Callithrix jacchus: one gene and its partner. The protein of the gene in region 1 interacts with the protein of each later gene in a pairwise test. Links are inferred from orthologs where the notes say so. Each region holds a gene or a part of one and is shown in the gene's direction. Other genes may lie near its edges. The genes, in order: DAB1 and MBNL1.

Region 1 (3,826 bases):
GTTTCAAACAAACTTGGCATTTTTATTTGCATGCACATAGAAATGTGTAGACTTATTAGGAATAATTACAGTTTTCTGTTTAGTTTTTTGAGATTTTAAAAATTGCATGGGGCCTCTTTTTATTACCTTTAATGAACCCTATAGATCCAGGACTTTGAGTTATGAGCCGTTGATCTGGTTTACACCTCCCATTTACTGGAGGGTTAAACTTGAGGTACAGAGGGGTACAGTGGGTGACTCGTGTTTACACAGAAGCTAAAATTCAAGCCTCATGATGCCCCGTATAAGGACTTTAAACATACCATAAGCACCCAGGTGTATATATAAGCCTTTACAAGGTACTGTTGAATGAGGATTGTTTTAAGTAGGTTTAATATAGGAAAATAACCATAAAGATCACCATTACCCAATAGGATGGTGAGCATTATTTGTTGAAGCTCAGATAATGAAGGTCAATTATAAAAGATTTTCAAATTACTAATTATCAATTTCAGTTTACTTTAGTTCAACAACTATGGGCCAGGCATAGTGTAAGGTGCTAGGATGGCAGGGATAAGGAAGACAGAACTGGGTGAGAAAGACAGACAAGGAATTATGCAAATATATCAGAGAAGGAAGACCTGTGAGGGTAAGGAAATCCAGGGACAAACATTGGAGGAATTTATCAGTTCAGTGTTACTGGAAAGTAAAGTTCTACAGAAGCACAAAAGAGGGTGGAATTATTTCTGTCAGGAGAGAGAAGGCAAGCCTCATTCAGAGGAAATTTGACACAGGTGGTTCTATTTCACGTGTCCATTGAAAGAGAAATAGGATTTGGGCAAGTGAATAAAATGAGTTGATACTGCAGACAAAGGGACCTACCAATGAAAAGCCTGAGAGATATGCATAGCCCCACCTCTACCCCCAGTGGTGACTCTGGACTAAACAGAAAAAAGCGTTTATTCCTCAACACACTCTATCACCATCTGCTGGATGGTGTTGTCACCAGGCACATCCATAGTTCTATGAATGTTAACGATACTCCCTGGAGTTGTACAGTGTACATCCTCCACCACAGCACACAGAGTCCCTGAGTATTTCAGTATATTAAATGTTAATCCAAAAGTTGGACTGGGGTATGCCATGAAAGAAGAGCCAACAGAAGCCTAGCCACTGGACTAAACTGACTAGCTCTAGCAAGCTGATAAAGCACCGAAGCAGATGCTTATTCAGCATATGAACAATCCTGTGTTTCTCTCTGGTCACAGCATTAAGACCATAGAGGGAAGCCTCCATTTCTCAAGGGCAGGCATAGCTCTTTTTCTTTCCATCTGGACTAAACAGCTTTTCCAAAGCCCTTTGGGCCTGTTCACACATAGCTGAAACACATTTCTTACTGATCAACAGCTCGAAGGGAAAGTCCCCTGAAATATGTTCTTCTTTTTTTTCTCTGATAGGCCCTTCAGCATCATCATGCTGTTCATGAAATATCCTACATTGCCAAGGACATTACAGATCACCGGGCCTTTGGATATGTTTGTGGGAAGGAAGGGAATCATAGATTTGTGGCCATAAAAACAGCCCAGGCGGTGAGTATCCCTATCCAAGAAAGGAGCCTTTCCTTGGAACTCTGGGGGGCAGTCCAGTGACTCCGTCGGTCTTTTAGAGGCCACTCTGAGATATGACCAAGCAATGTATTTCCACTGAAGTTGACGCTCACATTCCCATCTAGAAAAGATAAACAGGCTTGGAGCAAGGAAACATGCTCATACCCATCCAGTTTTGTTTTTTTTTTTTCCTAATGGGTATTTCCTAATGACTAATTATTTTCCTTTCTGATTAAACTGGATGGAGACACCATATACAAATAAGTTTCCTTGTGCTCATAACCTCATTTAAGAAAAAAATAGGAGAAAACAAATAGTTGTTTTGCATAAGGTCTGCCCTAATTTTGCTGTATTCTAAATCACTAATAAATAAAAGCAATGCCTTTTATGCTTATGATTATTATGAATTTGCAAATATAATTAGTTGAAGAAATGAACTTTAGCCTAGATGCAATTTGCTAAGCCAATATAAACAAGGTAGAATTAATTAAGAATGGAATGCTTTCAGATTAACAGAAAAAGGAAAGGCTGCAAGTTGTCACTGCAAAAACAAAAATTGGTTGCTGCCTTTCAGTACCATTCCCTTATGATGTGCCTTACCACCTTTCACTCCAGGCTGAACCTGTTATTCTGGACTTGAGAGATCTCTTTCAACTCATTTACGAATTGAAGCAAAGAGAAGAATTAGAAAAAAAGGCACAAAAGGATAAGCAGTGTGAACAAGCTGTGTACCAGGTATACCTGAGAATTTATCCTTGTGCTGGAGAAGATGGGGGCTTCAAATAAACACATGTGAAAACCGACAGTCGCGCCTTCTCTTCCTGCTGCCAAGTAGGAATAAACAAAGATGAAAGATTCCTGTGTAAATTACAGGACCCAAAGCAAACCATTAGAAATTATCCCTTGTTCTCTTAAACTCTAGGCATATTGGATGAAGTGAAATCTTGAATCCAGAGAAAGATTTCAGGGGTAGAGGACAAAGAAACACAATTGCTTTTGCTGTTGTTAACAGTTGGGGTGGAGGTGGGGTTAGCTCTGAGGGTTTTGACTTTGCTGTATTTTTTTTCTACCTTGATGAGCCACCAGCCTCTTCTGCCCAGAGCTGGTTTCTTTACTGTCCTGTAATTTCTGAATGCAATCTCACATCTGTTTCTTTATGTCATCTGCTTTTCACCCTCCCTCTCCTTGATCTGCAATAGACAATCTTGGAAGAGGATGTTGAAGATCCTGTGTACCAGGTAATTTCTGAAACTAGTTGGGGTTTTAGATTCTAGAATGACTAGACCTGTGAAGAATCCACTGACTGCAAAACCTGGAGAGAGACCAAGATTATTTCTGAGGGTGAGGGCTGCCAGCCCCTCCAGGAGCAAATTTCCATAAAAACTAACAGAAGTTTGGCCGGCATCGGTATCTTGGGATTTGAAGATCCGCTTCTCCCTTCTTGCCCCTGCCTCAGCCCGCTTCACAGCCTGTAAAAGTTTGATCCCAGAGCTGAATGTTTTCAAGAGTCTCTTGAATATTCGGAGTTCATTAGAGAGAATGTGAATAATGAGGTGGCTTCTCTGAGTTAAGAACCAGAGGTGGGGACTGACATTTTGGTAATGTTTGGGCACAGACCTAAAGGATGGTTTCTAAGCGTTAGAAAGGCTATGAGGAGGGCTCTCTGACCCGCGATGGGGCAAGCTGACCCTCTGATTAACTGGCTCATGCCATAGAAGCTGTTGGGAGGAAGGAAAGAGTGCCCTAGAGACACTTCTGCCCATAGATTTCTCTCTGGACTCTTTTCAAGATCTGTAGCTCGGTGCTGAGAAGAGAGATGATCTCTCTTAGGGTCAAGTATGCGCCCTGTTCAAACAGAAATGCAGAAAAAAAAAGTAAAAGACAGCCTCTCCCTCCCCTGTGCTTATTTTCAAGGAGAAAAAGAAGCCAAAAAAAGTGACTTTTTGAACACAAAGGAAAATCTTGAACTTACATTTCTAACTGGGATGCATAGATGTCATGTGTGTGTGTATGTCACATATGCATATTATACAAATTATATTTTCACACAAAAAGTCGGTACTGCTACAATGGAAGTAAAATAATATAGATAACTTGTAGAAGAAAACGTGTCTAGTATATATGGCAAACAGAAGCCAAAGAAGTACATAATGACATGCTCTTGCTTTAGAATGCCGAGGGGTGACGATTTGTGTAGAATATGAGCTTCAGCTCCTGGCTCACTGGCTTGCACAGAAGGA
Region 2 (3,826 bases), on another chromosome or scaffold:
AGGTTGGTTTTAGGACACATTCTAAGCTAATTCTTAGTAATTAACTCTGCCTAAGTATTTTTTAGAATTCTTTCTAAATGCATCCCACAGGAGAGTAAAGAATGTAAAGTTATAATAAACCAATTCCTAACCTATAGAACTACCCCCCCCCCACCTGCCATACACACACAAATACACACAGAACCTAAAAGTAGACTAACTTCAGGTCTTTTTTCTTGTTAATGTGGCAAAGAGTACACTAAATTGGAAAAATGGAATGTTAGTTCCTGATACATTTTGAGCATATTCAAGAAAGCAGGAATTACTGAGGAGTGAACAGCAGCCGGAAGAGATCAGTTATAGACCTTCTGCAAGTTTCCTGTTTGGTGATTCCTACACTGACGTAGATTTGCTTAAATAGAAAAGTAGCCCTGTTGTTTATGCAGTAGTCTATGTTTGGTGTGTATACGCATGTTCACGCGTGCGCACACACACACCTTTTTATCATTATTTAATGTAGGCACATCACTCTTCCTGAGTATAGTGATGAGCCTCACATACAATAAGTTTTGATTAGGTACTAGGTACTGTTTTGTAAGCTCCATAGCTTATTCTAATGTTCAGCTGGAGAGGAGGATGATTATTCTGGGTAACAGCTTGATCATTTTTGCTTTATAAGTTATAAATCTTGGTTATAGTTTTATACTTTTTTTCTTCTGTTCAATAAGATAAATACACTACAAAAAAACAGAATGATGAATAAATTTTTAAGTCATTTTTGTATTTGTAATAAGTCTGTGTGTGGTGATGAATGACATTGGCTCATTATATGTATTTGGAACACAAAACTTTAGCTAGCTTGAGATTTCCAAGTAGTGCAAGATATCATTTATAATGTTCTTTTTAAAAATGTAGTGTGGTACAAATTATACTATCTCCTTTAAGAAGCACTTTCCTCGTAATAGTTTATGAATATAATGGGGGGAAAATACCCAGATTTAAATGCAATCGTTTTATTTCTACAAATTCAAGAAAACCTTTGCTTCCTAACTCATAGCAGTTACAGTTTCTCTTTCTTGCTTAACTTCAAAATAAAGTGCTTAGTATCTTCTTTTACTACTTGTGAAAGATACTTCAACAATTAAAAACTGTTTCCTTGAAGCTTGAAGAGCATGAGAAGTATTAGAAGGACATTCTGTGTTTTAGATGGCCCTCTTGTGGTAAAACGGTCAAACTATCATGAATAGAGACAGCTTTTTTTTTTTTTTTTTCTTTTTTTTGAGACGGAGTTTCGCTCTTGTTACCCAGGCTGGAGTGCAATGGCGCAGTCTCGGCTCACCGCAACCTCCGCCTCCTGGGTTCAGGCAATTCTCCTGCCTCAGCCTCCTGAGTAGCTGGGATTACAGGCACGCGCCACCATGCCCAGCTAATTTTTTGTATTTTTAGTAGAGACGGGGTTTCACCATGTTGACCAGGATGGTCTCGATCTCTTGCCCTCGTGATCCACCCGCCTCGGCCAAAATAGTAAGAGTCAAAATTGCGCAGATGAATGAGAAATAATCAATTTTTTCTTTTTCCTTAAGATCTCCATGGCAAAATCAACAGAATTAGCAAATACAAAACAAACAGACAATAACAAAACCAAAATATTTTTACTGGTTTATATAGCTACCAAGTGAATCTCTAAAGATCAAAAAATAACTCCTTCAAACATTTTCATAAAAAGCTATCAAATTTGATTTTTTTGTATTTTTCACTTGGAAATAATTTTATATTTACCCAAAAGTTGCAGAAATGGAGCCAAGAGTTTCTGTCAACCCTTCACTGAGCTAAACATTAATATCATATATAACTGTGGAATCTCATAAGACCAGAAAAAATAGCATTGATATACTGCTGTTAGGTAATCTACAGACTTTAATCAAATTTTACCAGTTGTCCTCCCAATATTCTTTCTCTGACTCCAAGCTCCTCCAGTTTGTGAAAATATCTCAATCTGTCTTGCATGACCTTGAGACTTTGGAAGAGTACTACTCGGTTATTATGTAAAGTATCTTTCCATTCACTTCATCTGATGTTTCCTCTTGATTAAATTCAGGTAGTAATACCACTACTTTGATTGTGTGTCCTTCTCATTGTATCATATCAGTAGGTACACAATGTCATTATGTATCACTGGTGATGTTAATTTTGGTCACTTGGTTAAAGTGATATCGGTCATGTTTCTTTACTTTAAAGTTACTGTTTTTCCCTTTGCAATTAATAAGTATATCAACACCATTTCAGATTATATTTTTACCATAATTAATGTTATAAATGCATTTTCTTTCTTATGGACATTTATACTGAAATGGAATTATAATTTGTAACTAATCTAGGAAAGGCTGAAGTTACATTGTTGCATTGTTTGAAAATCATTTTTCCCCTTTCATCTACAGCCTTCTATCACTTGGCTTGCACTTAAAGTCTTCAGAAAGCTTCTAGTTGTTCATGTTGACTAAACCTCATGTACTTAATGATCTCATAGGTATGTCGAGAGTACCAGCGTGGCAATTGCAACAGAGGAGAAAATGATTGTCGGTTTGCTCATCCTGCTGACAGCACAATGATTGACACCAATGACAACACAGTCACTGTGTGTATGGATTACATCAAAGGGAGATGCTCTCGGGAAAAGTGCAAATATTTTCATCCCCCTGCACATTTGCAAGCCAAGATCAAGGCTGCCCAATACCAGGTCAACCAGGCTGCAGCTGCACAGGCTGCAGCCACCGCAGCTGCCATGGTGAGTAGAAACATCAGCTCTCTCCTTGATAGCAGTCAGAAAAGCAAAGTGAGCAACTATATCTGACTACAAACTATTCATTTATTAAGCTTTTGAAAAAAAATTGCTGAAGATATGTTTGTTCAGGTATCCCAGACAACATATAAAGAAGTTACTTTCACAGAAGTGAGGGTAACTCCTCAAATGGTTTAGATTGCTCCTACTCTTGGCCTAACTCTTACTCTGTCTTATTCTGGATGTAGGGTTTCTGAAATCTCTGCTTTGTAAAGAACCACCTGTCTCCTTTTCAATTTAACGATACTGCCATTTTCGGTCTTCTTATTTCTGTGTGCCATCTAATCAGCCATTGTTTTCCTTTGGTGTGTTCTTTTGCACATCAAGGCTCTTCTTTACATATATCTTGCTTTTAACAATAACATGATCTGGAACTATTTAGGAGAATTGTTTCAACAAAATTGTTCTTAAAATTAGCTACAGGATTTTGAACAGTACACTATCTAGATTGTCTGAAATAATATTGTGGCATAAACATAATAGTAAATTAGAGAAGCTTGACTATGCCATTCTATAGAAAGGAGAGAGACAGTAGCACTCGAGGAGTTAAAAATTAGATCATTAAGAATAGCTACTAAACTATATTTTCAAGGTAAATTTTAATGTGATCTAATAGCTGATTTTAATGAGCCCATTCTTTGTTCTTTGCTTAGCTGTTTTAATGTAGTCATTTTTAAATCTAAATATATGACAAATCAATGAAATATTCATTTTAAAGGTCACTGTGTAGTATTTCATAACACAGTGAAATAGTCACGAGAGAGATCTTTTCTGTGTTTGTTTATGGATACTTGAGCAAAAATACAGAAGGCAGACTCTCTCCTCCTCTCTTCCTTTCACTCTTTTTTTCTGTTAGAGTATCTTGTTCGTAATTAACTACAAAGAGGAGTTTATCCTCCCAATAACAACTCAGTAGTGCCTTTATTGTGCATGCTTAGTCTTGTTATTCGTTGTATATGGCATTCCGATGATTTGTTTTTTTATTTGTTTTTTCTCACCTACCCAAAA

Evidence for each region.
Region 2: the proteins of DAB1 (region 1) and MBNL1 interact in binary tests that used the Homo sapiens proteins (3 or more experiments, as listed by UniProt). The link is inferred for Callithrix jacchus from reciprocal best matches to the Homo sapiens genes DAB1 and MBNL1.

What each region holds. Positions count from the first base shown.
Region 1 is NC_133508.1:94,158,630-94,162,455, reverse strand, and holds part of DAB1 (disabled homolog 1), read left to right. Parts: intron 1-1,436; coding exon 1,437-1,568; intron 1,569-2,201; coding exon 2,202-2,321; intron 2,322-2,785; coding exon 2,786-2,824; intron 2,825-3,826. UniProt on the Homo sapiens protein: Signaling adapter of the reelin-mediated signaling pathway, which regulates the migration and differentiation of postmitotic neurons during brain development.
Region 2 is NC_133518.1:32,892,368-32,896,193, reverse strand, and holds part of MBNL1 (muscleblind-like protein 1), read left to right. Parts: intron 1-2,506; coding exon 2,507-2,764; intron 2,765-3,826. UniProt on the Homo sapiens protein: Mediates pre-mRNA alternative splicing regulation. Acts either as activator or repressor of splicing on specific pre-mRNA targets. Inhibits cardiac troponin-T (TNNT2) pre-mRNA exon inclusion but induces insulin receptor (IR) pre-mRNA exon inclusion in muscle.